Linked DNA regions of Styela clava. The protein of the gene in region 1 interacts with the protein of each later gene in a pairwise test. Links are inferred from orthologs where the notes say so. Each region holds a gene or a part of one and is shown on either strand. Other genes may lie near its edges.

Region 1 (10,773 bases):
CATTGGACACGCACACACACATTCAGCGCGTCTCGAAAATCTCTCGCTTTGTAAAATTCCAGATCTCTTCATCACTAATTAATTATTAACTCGCTAATTATACGACACAATTCGCCCAAAATCAATAGGCTACTGGTACGAGATATGATGAATGCACATGCAAAATCTGCAGCAGATCCAATCTCTCTTTCGTGAGATATCGCGTGCATCTAACAGACAGACGGATAAACAGACAAATACCTATCAACATACTTACCGATTAAAATCGATAAGTAATAAATGTAATACATAACTTTGGAAACGCCAAATATAGCGTCACGGTACACGTAACCCCGGAGTAACAAGAAGGGATTCCCAGACTATCACGACATTCCGTTCGCGCGAGAACCCGCTGAATCTTTCCACTGGTTATATACGACTTTGTCATATTCCGAAATTTCTTTGCTGCGCCACTAAACATAAATTGTGGTATTAATCTGGCCTTGTTATAAAGTTTACCAACTCCCGGCCTGGGTTATTTTTTGGGAATAAAAGTTGTTCAATTCTAAATTATATTCACAGCCTAGACATGGGTATTGTACGAGTAGGGCAATCTGTCAATTTGTCTATCTATCAATCAATTTGTAAAAGATTGTTTTGCATTTGACTGAGTGTTCCCGTTGATATATATCGGATATTTACGAAGGGCACTTGAAATTTGATAGTGGAGAATTTCACACACCGCCGGTGATCAATATATGTACTCACAAATGCACGTAGGATATTTAAATCTCTGCGCCTCGTCGCAATGAGATAAACACTCGGTGGAGGGATTCGGAAGTTTGAGCGAACCCTTTCTTAGAATGACCCGATATTCAGCGAGCTCGTTCTTAGGCGTAAGACGACCGCAGGAAATGTGTAACGTGCACCGCAGCTGACAATAGCGTTATACAGGGTGTCCATAAGATCTCTTTACAATTTCAATTTTGTTATGAAGTCAGTTCTCAATATATCTTAACCAGGTTTGTTATTGTTTTAATCAGTAATTGTTCAAGTATTTTTACTGCATTTGATACATCTGAGAAGGCCAAGACAATATTGTAATTTTAAAATATTTTAAGACTTAATGGATACCCTATATTAGGAGTTATTTACTAGGGATGCGGCGAGATTTCGTACGGTGAATTTTCCGGACCTGATTTACCAGATGAAGTATGTCGCATTTTAATGTAGCTTATGTAGTGGGTAGTAGTGGCAGAGGTATATTTATCAAATGAGGCAACTGTTGTGTCAGTGTGTTCGAATCAAAAGATAGCATGTTTTAAAATTCCACGACTGAATGAAACCCACTCAAAAAGAGATACAGCTACCTTTGAACACCACAAAATGGATAGGAATAAGCGTTGGCCATCCTACTGACACTTTCTAAAATGTAAAAAGGTTTCTTTTCTTCATATCAAAAATGGGTGCTCCAGAAGTGTGTGTACCAATATGGAGATAACTAATTTTGTTCGCCTATTTTACATAAAGTTATGTAAAGGTACTGAAACCTATGGACAGGGGGATATTCACCTAGTTAACACAGACAGTCGCCAAACTCGTAATAGAACTAAAATAAGGAAAATTTGTATAAAATTATGGCCCAACTAACCCTAACCTGGTACACATACTTCGGGGAGTACCCAAAAATGAGCACTGATTTCCACAACTGGGGTAGAACTCTAATAATGAGATAAAAAAAAAAATTGACTTAATTTTGATTTCAATTTTATTTCAGATATAAATTAAATTTTAATGATATATAATAAAAAATTATTGCATCGAAAAAAAAAGATCAAAAAGCTGCCATAAATCAATGAATAAGAAATTCAATAATATGAACCTAATTTTTGAATATAATGAAATTATAAATGCGTACAGATAGATGTTGGAATGCTGTAATCAAATTGCTGAGGGCGCATATCGGTATCGAATGCTTTAAACTAGATCGCCGGTTCTTAACCAGTGGGGCATGGTCCACAAATCTATTAAAATTGCTAGAGTTATTGATTGATAAATAATTTAATTTTGATTGTAGCAGCAATGAATGATGCTGTTTTCTGCTTCTGAGTAGTAATTTACATTTCAATTATAAAAGTGGAAGACTCTATATTTTTTATTTTTCTTGTAGTTTTTCCATTGCATGAGAAAGGTATTAAGGTTGAGAACCAACCACTGATCTATTTCAATGACTAAGATATACAATGATATGAATAGATATTTCAAATTTAATACTGATAGACTTTGGATAGACGTTATCAAATCGACACATTTTAGTATCAAGAGCTTAAACGCAGAAGGGCGAAACTTGAAAAAGGTGCCCTGAGAAAATGCACATTATTGATTTTCAAACTCCTGTAATTTTTAATTAAAAATTTTGGAGAATATGGCTTCAAATTATGCATAGATGCCAAATTGCAATCACGGCAAACTCCACATAAAATGGCAGAACAAAAATGAGAGAACATGGCAGTCCAGCATGCATAAAGGATCAAAGGGGGTACATAATGAAGATGTATAGCACTCAACAAAATTAGGCAGGCGACAGAGTCTGGTACTCTCAATAAAGCAAATGATTTATCCATGACGTTTCTGACTTAATATTCAACTTGATAAAAGCAAAAATAAACGAATTAAATTCGATATGAAGATTCAAAGATAAATTGCATTTAATTTCTAACAAAATTAAAGAATATGTTGTCATAGTGATATCACAGATTACTTTTAGTCTTGGTGGCGCTAGAGTACTGCATCCATTGGCTCATATCAAGATCCCCGCGTTTCTCCACGATGCGTTCTAGCATTGGACTAGGAGTCCACTGTGGCACCACATTTCCAAACTTTTCATAATAATGCTTTATACGAGCCAGAACTTTCGGAAGGCCAATTTTACTTGCATAGTGCATAGGACCACCGGTGTGACTTGGGAAAGCGTATCCGTGTATCCAGATCATATCTATATCCATAGGAGAGGCTGCGATTCCATCATCAAGAACTTTGAAACCCTCATTGACGAGAGCGAACACCAATCTTTCGATCACTTCTTCATGATCAATTTTACGCGCAGTAGCTCCAATACGACTCCGGTAATCGCTGATAATTTTCGACACTTCGCCTGACTCAACAGGAATTCTGCCGTTAGGGTAATCGTACCATCCTTTCTTCGTCTTAAGACCGTACCGTCCGACTTCTACAAGATAATCAGGCAATGGGCAGTATCTCAATCCACTTCGAACGTTCTCTTGGGTTCCAGGAATTTGCTGTTTTGGTGTCAACCCAAACGCAGTCCGCATACGATATCCAAGATCGAGGCCTGAAAGGTCATCCACAACATATGCCCCCATTGCGAATCCGTAATCTTTTACTGCTTTGTCGACTTCCACTGGCAACGAGCCTTCTTCGACGAGGTACCAGGACTCAGCTTTGTAATTAAAGTACATTCGGTTGGCAACGAAGCCGTAGCAATTACCAACAAGTACGGTGACTTTACCCATTCTCTTTCCCATGTCCATACAAGTTGCGATTGTCTCACTAGAAGTTTTCGATCCCATGACATTCTCCAAGAGGCGCATCAAGTTAGCTGGAGCAAAGAAGTGCATTCCCATCACCTTTTGGGGCCTTCTGGTAAAAGAAGCAATTTTGTCAATATCTAGAGCGCTGGTATTCGAGGCCAGTATCGCAGAAGGCTTGCAAGCATTATCCAGCGCTTTGAAAACTTTTTCTTTAAGTGAGATCTCTTCAAAAACAGCTTCAATGACTAGATCGACATTTTTTAAATCGTTATAATTCAAAGTACCAGTCACGGCCTTTTTCATCATTGCATTTTGCTGCTTAGTGATCTTTTGATGGCGTTCCATGTCGTCAATGAGTGCATGTACTGATTTCATACCAGCACTGAGAAACTTTTCGTTCATCTCTATAACAATAACTGGAATCCCAGCACGAAGGAAATTTATGACAATTCCTCGCCCCATTGTACCGAGACCAATAACGGCACCGAGCTTTACAGGCATAGGTTTGGAGTTATGCCATGATATATCACTTCCAGGAACGCTCCATTTTTGCACTTGTCTTTCTGCAAAGAATGCATACCTTAGAGCAATTGCTTGGCCAGATTTTCCCAGCATCGATATAATTTCAGATTCCTTTTTCAATCCTTCAGCCAGGGTGCTTTGCGCAGCATATCTTACAGCTTCTATGCAATAAATCGGGGCGTATTGACCTCGAGACTTTTTATGCACAATTTGCGTATATTTTGCTGCAATTTCATCCACACAGTCGGCATCTTTGACTCTTCTATCAGCTGATCTTCTTCCTAATAGAGACTTAGTCGCCACAATTCGAGCAAAAGCAATCGACTCTTTGATAACATCAGTCCCTTTCGAAATAATTCGATCAATAACGTCAAGTTTTGCTGCAGTATTGGCCGAGTACTGTTTTCCTGTAGTGATCCATTGCATTGCAGCATCTAGTCCAGCGATTCGAGGAAATCTCTGCGTTCCACCTGCACCCGGAAGTATTCCTAACTTTACTTCCGGGAAACCCACAACAGCATCTGAACTGGCGACTCTATAATGACAGGACAGCGCAATCTCAAAACCTCCACCAAGGGCGTAACCATGAATCGCAGCCACGACTGGTTTTCTACTGGCTTCAATCTCGTCACAGACATCGCCCAAATGTGTTTTGATGGAATCCCCTCCAAATTCTGAAATGTCAGCGCCGACTGAAAAATGTTTTTCGCTTCCACGTAAAACTATGGCTTCGACTGTTTGGTCATCCAAGGCCTTTTTTAAATACAACTTGATACCCGTCCTCACAGATTCGCTGAGTGGGTTCAATTTACCATTGCTTAGCTTTATAATCGCAATATTCCCATTGACTGAATATTCCGCCATAATATCTGTTTATCTATTATAACAAGAAGTAAATCCAGCTGCCAACTATACCGTTAACCCCACACAAAACAGTAGAACCGTCAGCTTGCAGAAGAGGCAGCAAACAACGTACATTCAGACATTACACAATCTTTGCTAACCCTACGCCGTCATGACACAGCTAAAATTACAGCAACGATGAACAGAACATACACATCGCATTCAAACCAGAACCTACACCTGCAGCAGACTGTTACGCTATACCTTATTTACTTAGGCGACTCGCTTGGGTGGTCTCTGTATAAGCTCGTTCTATTCCTCTATCATCGACAGCAGTGTAAGCGTCGCCCTAGGCATGTAAATTTACCGGCTTTCAAATGCGGCATTGTCTGCAGTCGTTTCGCTGTATGATTAACTGAACACCGGTATTTAATCAACCAATACTCACATTGTAATAAAGAGCTAACCCTTGAATATCCTACTCGCAGATTTGTTTTCTGTTTTTCAGGTCGTTCTGTGATGATCAATACAATGGCTAGTTTATTGAATAAAATGGTGTCTACAACAACAAAATTCGCAGGCTGATGTCTCATCCACGATAAACTTGAATCTATTACGCCACAATAATTAAATGAAGAAATGATCCTGTGAAATAACAATACTAATTCCTTTATTCCTAATTCCTTTATCTTTGCAGAAGTCAATATCTAAGAATGAAAAAAAAAACCTTATAACCTTAGCAACCAACATATTCATATACCCTATCTTTCTACCTTAATTAATTATAATTACTCATACTTATAAAGTTACTGATGGATTTAAATACTTATTGCAATCTGGACTACAATTTTTTTTTTTTTTTTTTTTTTTGTTTACATTTTTTTTTTTATTAATAAAAACATCACATTATCACAACACATTTATATAGACACAATAGCACAAATACAATTGCATTTTAAAAAAACGAGCACACAATAGTTTTCCACTTCTTATTATGGATTGACAGTTTACCATTTTTAGTTGCAATAATCTTTTCACAGTTTATAATATTTTTTATCATATATAAAAATTGGCAAAATTGAGGCCTTTCATTACGCAGTTTACATTTGTATATAAAATATCTGGCACATAATAAAACACAGTTTATACCCTGATTTTGCCCTACCCCCAATAACATTTCTCTATGTGTCAAATTGAAGTTTAATCCATACTCAACGGTTAGCCAAGCGTTAACTATTTCCCAAAATTGCTGCACAAATTCACAGAGATAAAATAAATGTAACACGGTTTCAACATGCATATTACAAAATGTACATTTTGGACTTTGTGTTTTATTTATTCTATATAGCAGGTCATTAGTGGGCACTGCTCGCAAGGCAAATTTGACATGGAATGAACGAAGTCTGGATTCAATAGAGCAATAAAAAACTTTTTCATACAATGTAAACCAATCATCTAAGTTCCTGCACAATTCTTTTGACCATTTTTCTATTTTTTCAGTTGGCGGCAAAATTTTTTCATTACAAAGCTTATCATAAATATATCGAGACGTTTTATCAATGCTTTTAATATCTTCGATAAGACTAAGATGTGGATTGACTGGTGAGGTTTTTGATAAATTAGTTTTCCATTGCTGGGTTATACATGATATAATTTTTAAATACGCTAGCATGTCATCATAAAAACTAGAAAAACAATAATGATGAAAAACATACGGAAACATTGCAAGTTGCTGATTAGAATCACAAATATCTTCAACGAAACAAATATATTTACTATTCCAATCATCCATATATAAAAGTTTTCCTTTGCAAGTTATATTTTTATTAAACCACAAAGGTTCATGTAAATGACTTACATCCCTAATAATCTTGGATTTGAAAATAAACCAATAGTACAGAGTATCTCTCAAACATCTGGAATACATATTTTTGATATACACTCCATGCGGATATACATTTCCATAAAATAAAGCCTTTCCTCCATACAAATTCAAGAAAAACATTTCTATGGATTTCCATGAGACATCAATTTCGTCATTTATTAAACATTTAACCCATCTTAATTTTTGACCAATGAGAAATGATTCCACATCAAGCATATTGACCCCCCCTTCCTTCACAGGTGCAATTAATGTCTTACGTTTTATTCTCTCCCATTTTGAACCCCATAAAAATTCATGGCATATCTTATTTACTTCCATTATAAAACTATTGGGCAGTATTACTGGTAAGATGGAAACTACATAAACCAATAAGCTCAACATCAAAGATTTAATCACAGTGATTTTTCCGAGGAAATCTAGATTTCTTTTGGACCATATTTGTGCAACCATTTTCAGTTTTTGAAGTTTTGGCAAAAGGTTCACAGTAAAAAGATCCGTATCATTTCCACACACATTAATGCCCAAAATTTTAAAACAGCTAGGGTTCCACTGAAGTCCTCGGTCTTGCATAGGAAAATTTTGCCAATTATTATTTGCACCCAGGTATAATGCTTGGCATTTATTCGTATTTATCTTGCACCCAGACATGGTAAAGAAATTATCGGTTTCAGAAAATACTGTTTTAATACTTTTTTGTGACCCATCACAATATACTGTTGCGTCATCTGCAAACAAGGAAATTTTAATTTCTGTATTTCCGAGACATATACCTTGTATATTATGGTCTACAATTTGGCAATAAATAATAGGCTCTAGTCTGGGCAATGAAGTGGTCTAGCCCACCTCTTCATGCACCCAATTCTGGCAACTTTGGTTGGGCATTTTGGCATTTGACTCCATCTATAATCAGCTTGACAATATATTTTTTTATAAAAGTGGATCTTTACTGTTCACTCCCATTTATAAAATTGATCAATTTGGCAGTGGCAATCATGATAAATTTATTAATATGGTGTGGCAAGTAATTTTTATTTATTTATTTTTTATTAACTACCAGTATGTAATTTTTCATGTTCCCTTTACTTAATAACTTCTATATGGTTGTGTGTGTGGGTGCGTGTGAGCGTGTGTGAAATATTTCAATTACTTTAGGTGAGTGAACACGTACCACATCTTCTTGGCAAAACCTTCCATCTTATATACATTCTGTACGTTTTAAACCTTATCTAAGGTTTTGTTCGCTCTCCTGATTTCATAATCAGTTTTTATTTATTTATTTTTAGCATTCATTTTATTGTTTTGCTGATTATGGAGTCGAAATAAACTTATACTTATATACTTAAGTAGTCGAATTCTAATAGTTGACACACTGGGTTCAACAACAGCTATTATTTTTCAAAGCGATCAGATCCATAGGTCAATTTAGCGTTAAGTAAGCGCATCTCCTTCAGGCCCTCTGCATTTTGTTTGTCCATTTGTTGTTGTTTTGTTTCTTTCAGAGTAACCGAAATAAAATTGATTGATCTAATAAAATCGACAAAACAACTCGACAAACAACAAATAGTTATTCATCAATTGATCCAGTTTGGACTGGACGTTCAAAAACTTCCATCCAGACTTTATTGAATTTCGCGTTGCACCAGTTTGGAAAATCAGAACAAACCATTTTTTTTCATAGACCTATCGAGTTGTCTGATCAAAAGTCGAAACATAAAGGTACGGCACGTTGGTAATATCAGGTACCTCACAGATGTATTTTGTTAAAGATAACACTGCAACATAATTTTATAGTAGACTAGATTTCATTTTTCATACACCAACGCAGGCTCAAGTTGTCGGATCAAGAGGCAAAACATACCGGTATTTACCACCCTTGCCCAGGCCTATCGCAAGTACTAGTAGTATCGCCACCAAAATATGATATGGTTGATGAATCAAAACATATTGATAACCATGTAGGCTAACTCATATAAATTCACGGAACCGCTACCTACCTGCCACGGAAAGTAGAAAATGATATAGAGGACTTGCACGGGTCACGTGACTTTGTTACTGGACGGCAATAAAACAAAAACGTCCATTTGGCTCCTGTCAGTTGCAAGTCGGATTATACGTTTCCGTTTTGTTTGGCTGTTGAAAATGGTTATTTCGTATTGTTCCGTTGGCTGTACGTATAGTATAGACAACGAAATGGATCTCCAGTTATATTCCACTGATTTCAAAAGATCCGGAACGTCGCGCAATGTGGATATCATCTATTGGCAGGACTGCTTGGTGTCAAGTTCAGAAGCCTTCTCACTTGTGTTTCACTGTTTGCGCACTTCGTTGATGGTGAGTGATAATGTGGTGATAGTGTGCCGTTATCAATTTTTTTAAATATTCACAAGATCCCTCATTTCAATGGAAAGCAGATGACAAACTACTGTTTTTAGTAGGCCTAGGCATGGGCCTACTTGCAGTTGCAGACTTGACTTGTGTAAGACAGTAAAGAATTAATAATCAATTGCTATAAGGTATTGTTTCCCTAATTAGCAAGTAATCTATTACTAAGTGTGAAAGGTTGAATAGATAACTAAAGTTTAACACCAGTGGTCATGCAAAAAATAACCAGAATTCAATTGAATTCGCCATCTAGGAATACGCTCGCCACCGCCTCTCTGATCACCCTGGTAGTTTCACAGGTTTCGATCCCATGCGGGGATAGTTATGTGCGAGAGGATTGCAGCTCATACTCCCACCGAGGGTGGTTCACATGACCGCTGATCGGTTACGACCATTCCCCACCATCCAAGTCCATGCTTCTGAAAACAAATAACTGGCTCCCCCCAGATAAATCCTATCCTAATGGTGCTTGTACAACTGATCCATAGTGTCTTTTTATTGTCATTGTTAAAAAAGATATGCTACCCGGAATCAAATTCATTTACGACTAGTGGCTGTGGTGGGCTATGGACATAAATTTCACACTCCTTGATCGTTAGAAATCATGAAAACTCTATCTGTATCCATTATCTTACAGATATGGGTGCGACCATGGAATAGATGGATGGTAAAGTATAAGTTGCAACAAGACCACAGTGACACAAGACCTCAGCTTGCGTGACTTGATAATACATCCTCAGTATCCATTTATTGATGCTTATCGTAATGACAAAGTAACTCGTGATTACTGTGGATTGGTGGAGATAAAGTGTCCATTGGGCTTTAACGAAAGCAACTTCAAGACGACCCTATCAAGTAAAAAAAAATTATTTCGGTGGGTCTGGTAGTAAAGGTTTTAGTCTAACGTTGGACACCGATACTACAACCAGATACAGTTGCCAATGAAACTTTCCGCGGCGTAATATTGCGACTTTGTGATCGGAAAGAAAATTCTGATGGGTAGCCGGCTAGCCGCAACCTTTTGTTTAAAGAATATTATGAGATATGACTTAAAAGTCTAAACTTTTATTTGAGAGCTAATTTGCAAATGGTATTCATGGTACCAAATTTATCACACACTTTACAGTAATTATAAATTATATTTGAAAAATAAAGCACATCAAAAATGTATTTTTAAAAAACAATTGGTTTTATCTGCAGATACTAGGTTGATATTGAGATTGACCATTTCAATGCTAAATTTTCTTTAGTCAAAAGGCACACTTGATTCGCAAAGATTTGTGAATGCGCACAGTACACCAATTTGTCTAATGTTTTGATTCCATAGGCAAGAGGTTGTGGATCGGTGCTGCTCAGGATGGGATATTTTGCCTCTAAATGCATATTACGTGTTTCACATGAATCCATCGTGCTCAGATTCGACTGTTTTCAAAGTCTGAAGGCTCCAACAGCCTTATTTTATGGGTACACAAGAGAATTTTCAGTGTGGCATGCATGGGTCAGTTGGAGTCACTAACCTCAAGATATCTATAAGCAAGGATAAGATAACCTGGAAGTAACATTCCATAATTTAGAGTAAAAAATGTATCTGCCTCCACAGCCTGTTCAAAT
Region 2 (10,388 bases), on another chromosome or scaffold:
ATACTATAATATTCCATCATGATTGGTTAAAGTACTTTTTTATAATTCTACTTTACCTGAATCTTGAAAGTCCATGATGGGAAATTTCCTTCGCTAATGGCATTGAAGAGATCTCTGTTGGCATAGTCTGGGTCACTTCCTGCAAGTTCATTTGCCTTATCAGCCATCAGATTTTTGATGCCTTGGTCACACTAAATAAAAAGGCTCATTGAATTTTTTATTTTACACTGATTTTATTTAATCGTTTCATCATATTTCAACAAAAAAGATATACAATAAAGAATTTGCTTCAACTCTCCATTCTGTAAAATTAGAATTGAAAACTTTCGCATTGCAAAATAGGTGTCCATAGAGTTTACATCTAGTTAATCCATAAAGAATTACAAATAAAAAAACCTTGAAGTGGAATTTGCAGTAGATTGGTTTTCCATCCTTATTGACCATCTTGAATGTGTGACTTCCATATCCATTCATGTGGCGATATCCATCAGGAGTTCCTCTGTCACTGAACAGGAATGCAACCTGACAATGATTAAAAAAGTGAAATTCTGATTTCCTCTCACCGATATGTCTATAATTATAACTTCTCTGTTCTCTATTTATTTCTAAAAATTATCCTTATTTATTCATTTTTATTTTATATGATGACTTAATAAATAGTATTGTTAATGATACCTGGTGAGTCGTCTCTGGACGAAGTGAAATGAAATCCCAAAACATATCTGGATCTTTAAGATGAGTTTGAGGATTTCTTTTCTGAGTGTGAATGAACGATGGGAACTGGAAAGGAAAAATTCAAAGGGTAATAAATGCTGTGTTAAATCTTTGTTCAAATCCGAAATATTTAATAATCTGTGCTATCGATTGGGTTTCTACGATACTAACTACTTCTTCATCTTCTATGTTTCCGCGCCGGTGGATCGGTATGCATATAATGCGAGGATGCTGTTGCATAACTATCCTAAGTGATTCAAGAGTTTTGCTGCACACTAATACAAATTTATTTTTGTAACGTTTCATCTGATCAATGTCAGACTTCCTCAGACATACGTAGTTCACAGTTGAACTATTGGCAATAGACAATAGTGTCTGAGGAAGTCTGACCTTGGTCAGACGAAACGTTACAGAAATATATTTACGTTAGTGTGCAGCAAGACTCTTGAATCACTTAGGTTATTCAATAATCAATAGAATCATATACATCAAATCATCTTACATCATATCAAATAATAGTTGATAAATATCTAGTAAAAAACAAAACTCACAAAGATGGGATCTCTAATGAAGAAGATAGGTGTATTGTTACCAACCAAATCCCAATTACCATCCTCAGTGTAAAATTTTACTGCAAATCCACGAGGATCTCTGGCAGTATCTGCACTTCCAGCTTCACCCCCTTTGAATGATAATTAGATGTTTAGAATTTTACTCATACACTAACATATGAAAAATAAATATTGCAATGTACACTGGTATATTCTACTTGGGGTATGTCAAAAATATGTATCTAGAATTTTCAAACACAATTTTTTTTTTAATCCAGGCATTTTGATTTCATTCAATAAATACAAACTCAAAAATACATTCAAATATATTTGATGCTTTCACTGAATACATTTACGGTATGTGCATTTTCGAAATTGCAGTCAATACGAGAAATTCAATTATGCAATAAAATAATAATATGCCAAAATTACAAAACTGAACGAGACAATGCATCTGAGCGTGATGAGACAAAATTACGGTAATATAATATGCAAAACAGGAAGAACTTTTCAAAATATTGATAATAAGCAGCAGTACGCAGTAGTCTTGAACATCCTACTAGTTGCTATTTAAGCCTGATTTTTAAGTAGTAACTCACTAAAAAGAACAAACGTTATTAGTGTGCTACAATGAAAATTTCACAAGGATATAGACAATACTATTCATAATTGTAAAGGCTACCAGCACAAAATACAATTGCATTCAAATACATTGAATCCAGTACAATTTGAAAATTGTGAATCGTGTATGTTTCACTACTGTATTTAAATTTCGATATATATGAAAATACCTCACCCACAGTTGAGAATCGAACAGCAAGTGGAGTTCTTTTTCCAACCTTTTCAAATATCTTAGCTTTGCAGTACTTTGTGATGTCATGGGTGACTTCGAAATACCCTTTGGCACCTGTTATAAATCAATTGAATTAAATCTACGGCAATTGCAAGAAAGTAAAAACATGGATGTTTGATTTTATGCACAGACAATTTATATCAAAAACAATATTTGAAAAAATTGAATTTGAAAATGACATGTGGTAATGACAAACAGCTTTATATATTTTCACTTTAAATAAAACTAAAGTATTCACCTCCTCCTTTAGCATGCACAACACGCTCCGGAATTCTTTCTCGGTTGAAGTGTGCCATCTCATCAGTGAATGCAAAATCCTATAAAATAAAATTTGATCGTAAAATAATAATTCAAATATTATGACGCGAGGGATGTTACCTGTATATTCGGATAAGGGAGTCAAAATAACCAATATATTGTATTCGTTAATATAGGCCCTATTGAATAAATACGAGAGTGAGACATATCGCAGAATGAGAACAGAAGGGGCCTAAGTCACATTTTTGCAAAATTCACTTTTTTCAATATTTTGGGGTTTTGAGCCATGCTCTACACGGTGGTGGTCTTGAAATCCTGAATTTTCTCAATAATAAAAATTTAAGCTGGACTTAGGCCTGTAGAAGTTAAGAACAGAATGGGCCTAAGTCCAGCTAAAATTTTTAATATTATGAAATTCAGAATTTCAAGACCACCACCTTGTAGAGTATGGCTCAAAACCCCAAAATACTAGAAAAAGATAGTCCCAAGTTCCAATATGATGGGCATGAACATCAGAAATGAAATGTCCGAAACTAACATCCCTAAAAATTTCTTCAGTGCAACCTAGGCCTAAGTCACCTTGTTTTACCTTGCATCCCATACAAAAAAATTCAGAAGTTGTTGAGAACAGAATGGGCCAAAGTCCATTATGGGGTTAAAAAAGCAGGAAGGAATTGAAGCTGAAGTGCCAAAAAATATTGATTACAAAGATATTCACATCCACATTAAAATAACCAGAGCTCAGGTCTTTACTAAGTGTGAATATCTAGAAATTCAAAAATAAAAAAATTCCAAATTGTTTTGTACGTTTTTCTCAAAACTCAAAATTGTGACTTAGGCCTGTTCTGTTCTCATCCGGCGATATATTAAGTTTTTCAATGTATAAAAAATATATAAGGATTCGACAAACACCATCAAAGAATACCTGCAAAAGCATTGGCCCTCTTGGTCCAACCGTCATTGACTGCAACTTCTGGTCAATTGGTGCCCCAGTGCTGGAGGTAAGAGCTCCACCATTCTAGACAAAACAATTATATACATATAATTAAGGTTCAAAACCATGAGCACGAAAAAATTTTAAGGATTGTTTTTGTATATTATCAAGTGTTCTGTTGTATCATTAAGTTTTACTCACAGTGAGCACAAAATTAAGAGAATTATATTGATAGATAATCCATATGGGCAGTAATATAGGCAACGGAAGCATAGCATCATGTAATATGTATATCCTGCAATTTACCAACTTCCGAAGATATCATATAGCTTAATTTCCTTTTCAACTGGCGAAAGGATGTATGAGCAGCATAACTAGTATCTAAACTAATCATACCAATATATGGATTAGTATCCCCATTGTTGGATATTTCGTAATTCTGACTTGAAATCATTTTCAATTTTGAATTATAAGTAGATTTATTACAGGAAAATCATTTTTTTCAGTAAAATTCAACATAACCTAACTTTCCATACAATAAAAAATTAATGTTAATTTCAAGGAGAGAGTCTCCAATGATCATGAATTGTCAAAATTATGAGGTGTGAGATAAACACTTAAATTACAATTTTGATTCGAAATTTTTTTGCTTTCTCACACTGGCATCATAAGGCTCCAGACAAGTATTGACTAAGATTTACTTAAAAAAAATATTACTTTCATAACAATATTCATATTATAGCTGTAAATTTTTGCATTGTTGACAATATCAGAATATTTGAAAAGCCAATGACTGAAACCTGGAAACATGACAATTATACAAGATTAAAACATAAAACAAACCTTTGTGGCTGTGGCATATTCTTTCAATTGGTCAGCAGCTTTAGATCGTGGGGATGCCATGTTGTTCTTTAAAGAGCTCGTTTAGTAATATAAGATTTACAGGTTTTCGTTATTGATCTGATAAAATATGTCAAAATAAACAATGTTTAAAGTACCGGTAGACTATATCTATTTCTGTACTTCATTTCACTATTTTATATTTAAGATTAATTCAAAAACATCTCTTTATATTAAAATAAAAGTTATTGAATGGAAGAGAGTGATCATGACGGCAATAGTCTACTGCAATATGATGTAAATTTATAACAATATTAGAGTGCAGCATCAAAGAAAGAGAGAGAAATTTTATTCCCACAATCACACAATGTCAGCATTCAGACATTCTAACAAATTAATATAGAACATGTTCATATCTGTCTGTAGGAACATCACGTAGTCGAATTGTCAGACGCAAATTTTGTCTACTGCGGCGATAGCAAAGGGTACCGTATTCTAGAGAACGAACCAGCAATAACGAAATAATCAGTTAAATATTAACCTTATTCACAAACTTTGTGTATGTTACAAACTGGCACAAAATCACGCGAATAGCCTATACAGTGCGATACTTGTTTGATACCAGCTAATTATTTAACTCTGCTTGGTTCTACAATAACAGAATAACAACTCATGAAATACGATATCCATGCAAACACGCATAATCTTATCTTTTTCTTTTCACAAATAAAATCGACTTACTGACTTATGATAACCCAGCTCCTATACCTTCATATCTATCATTTATCATTTAACGATTTAACGGCAAAGACCTGAAGTTATTTGAATGCAGCTCCCATGCAGTGCACGCCATATATATATACCGAAAACTAAGCCATATTTTCCTTGTAGTTCAGCGAGACGGGGAAAAAAATCTCCAATGTAGCGATGCAGAAATTTGCTGATTCATTGCACGTGCGATCATGCGCATTAGTAAGTTGGTTACATCAATCATGTATGGGCCATTAATAAAAATATTGCGCGATTCTCGAATTTTGCAACGCGATATCCCTTCTATTGGGTAGACTGAGTTCAGATAAGACTATGCATTCCTTACATAACAAACACGCACGTGAACTAAACAGCGATGTAAAAAAAAATGACAGAATACCCGAGAAAAAAAGATTTTGAAGCTACCATGAACGCAACCGCACAATAAAAAAAGCGGATAAATGAGAAATAACTGAAAAACATAAAATTCAAAAAAAATATTGAATATTCTTAGTATACTCTAGCCAATCATCAAATTATTTATATTGTTATATATAATTTTCATAGGCAATTTTAATATTATCAGCCCATTTTTCAATGAGTCGAACTCATTTGCGCTGCACTTTCACGTTCATATCAATAACATCGGTGGTACCTACACACGAGCGTCGGGTGATATTTACCACCATCACTTTCGAGTGCGATACAAAGCTAGCCGCAATGGAATTTTGTTGAACCTAGTCACAGCTAACAATATGCCTAATCCCTTTTGTTTTTAATATATAATATACATATTTGCTTTGTGAACAATTTGCATATAGATGCACTCTCGTGAATAAAAATGATAATTCACGATTGCACTTTCATCCTATCAATAAAAAGAACAAGAATAACAAGAACAACAACAACAAAAATACCAAAACGACCCATAGGTCCACTACGTGTCTAATAATACATATGGCTATGGCATTTTGGTTCAAACAAAGACTGTTAAGGTCGTAACTCAAAACGTGCAGATACAGTGATTTCCCTACACCCCCCCTATAGGGGGTGAACACCCCCCCTAAAATTTCAAACACCCCCCCTAATTTTGAGGTGCGATTCCACACTGAGGGGTTCTAAACCGCAGTCTGCGGGCCAACTACGGCCCGCGTGACGATTTAAAATGGCCCGCCGAACTTGAGTGAAATAGTTTAACCCTTCATGTGGTACCTTTCCAGTTTTAGATACCATCTATTGTTACATCATTATCACAGTTTAAGCACGTTCATTTCGTAACAATTGGATTATTCCGGTATCTTATGTATAGGTATGGGTATTATGATTACACACTGCATTATTTTAGATATCAGCCATATATTAAGAAAGCTTAAAGATGTCACAAAACAAAAACTAGGCACTGAAAACAGACGTTTTTTAGATGAATGACAGCGTTTTTATTTCTTTATTGAAAAGAATCAAACTTCAGCGATTTGTTTTCTTACAAAATATTTCAGTTGTGAAGGAATACAACATAGCGACATTATGATCAGTTGACGAGCGTATTTCAAAATTTAATTCATACAAAAGTCAAACAAACATGTTCAAAAAAATTAGAAATGTGTAACAAAACAAGCCATAAGTAGCCATTCATACAATGCCAGATGAGCGAGTAACTTCATTAGTCACTATCAGTTGCAAATTACTTGTTGAAACGTAGTAGTATATATTTACGGTTGAAAGCCGTGCTTGTTATCTATTCCTCGGGAATTCTATCAGCTAAATTTTATAAATATTGATTTTATTGCATAACAAACTGCGATGCTATGTGTATCTAAAATCAAGCTTAGAGCCTATTTTGGTGCCTATTTCTCAAAATTTTCTCAGGGCGCTTGAGCGCGCCCTGAACCCCAGCCGTGTCGTCCCGCACTTTTCCTTGCTCCCCTTTTCTGGCCCTACAATTTCATTCTGCTGTGGATTTTGGCTGGCCGTCAATCAACTTGGGGGGCCCCCATGTACATCGTTTCTTAAATACATACCATTTTTTTTAAGAATACAAATAGCCTAGTTTTATCTCTAATAGCAAATTATTTACCACCCCCTAAATTTTTAAACACCCCCCCTAAAGAGAAAAGCTGGGGAACATACTGTGCAGATACTTTAATGCGCCCTATCATGCTTTTGTTTTATCGCATGTACGTACCGTAATTCTATTACAGTATTTCATCAGTTTTTTTTTCTGAGAATCTCGCATGCCCTTTACCTAACGGGCGGCTGCTCAGAACGGGAAGTCATGATGAAACGTACGGCATCAGTCCGCTATTCCTAAAAAGACCAATCCCCGCCATCAGTTCAACTAATTGCAGGGAATTTTGAAACTTCGCCGACAAGTTCAGAACATAGCACTGTGTTAGAAGTCAACGGTCCTGCTTTGATTTGGGTGTATGTATCCATCCAACACAAGAGCTTTGGCAATCTTATGTGTGATAACGGTTCAACCGGAATTCAATTTCTCATATATACCGGTATGTATTTTTATAATATATATATGGCAAGAAATAAGTATTGAATCTAGAAATTCACGTCAAGATCTCCTCAAAAAATATTCGACGTGAATCGTTTTCAATAAACACTGCTCAAGGTGCATAGGTATTTTGCTTAAAAACAGCCCTTTTATGTTTTCTGAAAACATGCATTAATTCGTCAACAATTTGTATTGTTAAGTTCATTTCATATGATAGAGCTTAATTGTAGCTGAATTTTATTTGGCCATGTCTTTGCACCTATGATGTATCTTTTAAATATTTTTAATCAAAATCACGTTAACCGTTAGCGGTACCAAGTCTTAGCGAATATTTTGATTACTTGCTAAATTGTTCATCCTATTTTTAAGAATATTTGTGGCCTCCGTTTGAACCTGATAGCCTTTTAGAGAATAAAGATTTTTCTCTGATATTTTAAGATTTATCTGACATACAAAAAGTGTCTTGTCACTGATACAGTGCAGATATGCGTAATTGGCGAAAAACCATCAACAAAATGACCAAGCACTTCTAATATTGATAATTGCTCTAGGTGACGTCAAGAATTGATCAATTAATACATTCACGCTTACTAGTGGATTACTAAGCATCATCGCCCATCGGTGATTTCTTGTTTTCACGGACATTTGGGTTTAAAATAAATTTATGCTTCCTACCGTATAATAAGAAATCATGCTTAGGTGTGTAGATGAAAATTTGGGTATATGTTTGGGTAATACACTTAAACTGCGCTTTGTTGGTACTGAGATATGACTTATATATTAATGTAAATGTGGGGAAATGTAATATGCTTCAGAATTTCATGTTACCCAAATTTGTCGTTAAAATCCAATCCTTCTTGAAAAACAATAGATATATATCTACTTTACATTAAAACATTCGCAGAACCAGGTTCGACAGTTTGAAATATATATATATATATATATATCTAATACGGTAGTTAAGTAGACATACCGTGCTAAAAAAGCGACAGTTATGTAGACGGAAAAATTGGGTAGACATTTTCCTGTCCGCTTAATTATTCCACGTTCCATAATTAAAACGTTTTGCGATATTTTGCTGAAATCTCTTTTTCTCTGATAAAACAGTATCACAAATAATATGTTCTTTCAATATTTTTTAAATTAGTGCACATTTTCGCCAACTTTAATGGGACAGTAGTTCTGCTGGTTTATAATCAACGGGTTTAATTTTCGTACATAAAGTGGACATTTTATTTATTCAAAAATCTTTTAATTTTTCGGTATATGTTTTTACGATTTTTGGAGAGTAGGTTTGATAATTTTGATACAATAACCAGGCAGAACATGAAGATCGTCCGTTTTGTTTTTTGCAATATAAGCTCAATAAACTGTAAAGGACCCCAATTCACAACTCCGTACTAAAGAGGCTTTGTGTCGCAATAGTAAAACTGTCGGGTTCGCCGAGAACTTTACCACGTTTGCCGTTTTGTTCGCAAGTAACCTGGACGCCGTGAGGGGATTGGGATCTTCATGAGTGCGTGATTGCCGAAATTTAGATAAAATAGAACAGTTGTGTTTGGAGAAGCGATCCAAGTCTTTTGTGTCAGGTGTTATCAGTTACCCAGTGAGTTGAAGTCGAGTCATAATAAGCAAGGATTTCAACGTCACCGAGGAATGCTGCTGGAAATCATCACTCATCGGATAAGGTGATTAGTCATAACGATTTTTAATACTAGGGTTACTATATTTTTGGTGTTGAGATTTTTCACGTAATCCAGATTATCAAAATATAGACTACTGATACTGTTATGCTTTTACTGGTCGTAGTTCTGATCTGACCATCAAAATAATGCTACGACTGGGTTTGCGTTTGTAAGAGTGTGTAATTCAGAAGGATTTCTAAATCCTGATGAAAATACAAACGAAGATTGTGGAAATTCAATGAATTCAATTTTTTGTCGAAACAGAAGGATATACGAGAAGCGAGTAATTGACGTTTGTATAGCTTGGTGTAAATAAAAATATCTAATACACCGCTTCATATTAGATTAGAATATTTCATCTTCGGAAAACAGTTTTGAAGAATTGCATTGCTAGCAATTTTGTTTTGTGATTTGGCACATGTCCCTGTGTTATTTTACCATCTTCATCTAGTTATTCACCGGGCTGTATTTTTTTGTTCACATGTAGGTGACTCTCCAACGAGATGGCCTACGTTTCAGAACTTGGCAGGCGGAAATGCGGGTAGTGATTCGGAGGAAGCTGTGCCAGGAGGTGACTAAATGAGTTTGCTATGCTTGTTTTTTTATTAAATACAGTATCGTAAATTGATACCAATGAATGGTAATAAACCAAATCATAATATCATTTGTAGCCCATCACAAATAGCGCAGCTATCTACGAATAATTGTAGTGCACCGTTTAGAAACTCTGGTTTATTTGAGTAATAATGCAATTATCCATTTCAAACATTTCGTTTGTTCGATCAATCAAGAGTAGCGTAATTCTGAATTGGACTAAAACACTGTGATGATGTTTTGTGACTTATGCATGTATATTTGACCAAAGTTTCAGATAAGTCAACAGACTATACCGCACCATCTTCAGAATCACTTTCAATAAGCAATGTAAGTGATTTCAAAGAAAACAATATATATGGAAAAGAAAAAGGCTGTAAATCAATTAAAAAAAAGCTTCTAAACAAACGCGAACCAGAAAAGAAACGACGAAAAGAAAAATAATTGCACGGATGGGTATATCTTGCGAGAAGTTTAATGTAAAGCTTTAAGACATATCTGTATAATGCATAAAGATGAACCGGCAGTGAGCATAATCTTGTCTCTGCTCAACAACTTAACCTAGTGGGCATATCCACATTCGTATACATACTTGGCATACATTTTTACTACTTAATTATAAATTCAAAATAACAATCATGTTTTTGTTTTCCGAGTTGGTGCAAACATTTTAAATAAATTGTGCAAAGATTCTAAATTGATATTA

The links.
Region 2: the proteins of peroxisomal bifunctional enzyme-like (region 1) and catalase-like interact in a two-hybrid assay, tested with the Homo sapiens proteins (2 studies listed by BioGRID, with this or other methods). The link is inferred for Styela clava from reciprocal best matches to the Homo sapiens genes EHHADH and CAT.

Annotation. Positions count from the first base shown.
Region 1 is NC_135257.1:18,678,423-18,689,195, forward strand, and holds peroxisomal bifunctional enzyme-like, read right to left. Parts: upstream 5,192-10,773; 5' UTR 4,917-5,191; coding exon 2,730-4,916; 3' UTR 1,732-2,729; downstream 1-1,731. UniProt on the Homo sapiens protein: Peroxisomal trifunctional enzyme possessing 2-enoyl-CoA hydratase, 3-hydroxyacyl-CoA dehydrogenase, and delta 3, delta 2-enoyl-CoA isomerase activities. Catalyzes two of the four reactions of the long chain fatty acids peroxisomal beta-oxidation pathway.
Region 2 is NC_135255.1:1,208,156-1,218,543, forward strand, and holds the start of catalase-like, read right to left. Parts: upstream 4,912-10,388; 5' UTR 4,892-4,911; intron 4,271-4,891; 5' UTR 4,214-4,270; coding exon 4,154-4,213; intron 3,395-4,153; coding exon 3,302-3,394; intron 2,436-3,301; coding exon 2,357-2,435; intron 2,173-2,356; coding exon 2,062-2,172; intron 1,397-2,061; coding exon 1,266-1,396; intron 781-1,265; coding exon 676-780; intron 523-675; coding exon 397-522; intron 192-396; coding exon 57-191; intron 1-56. UniProt on the Homo sapiens protein: Catalyzes the degradation of hydrogen peroxide (H(2)O(2)) generated by peroxisomal oxidases to water and oxygen, thereby protecting cells from the toxic effects of hydrogen peroxide.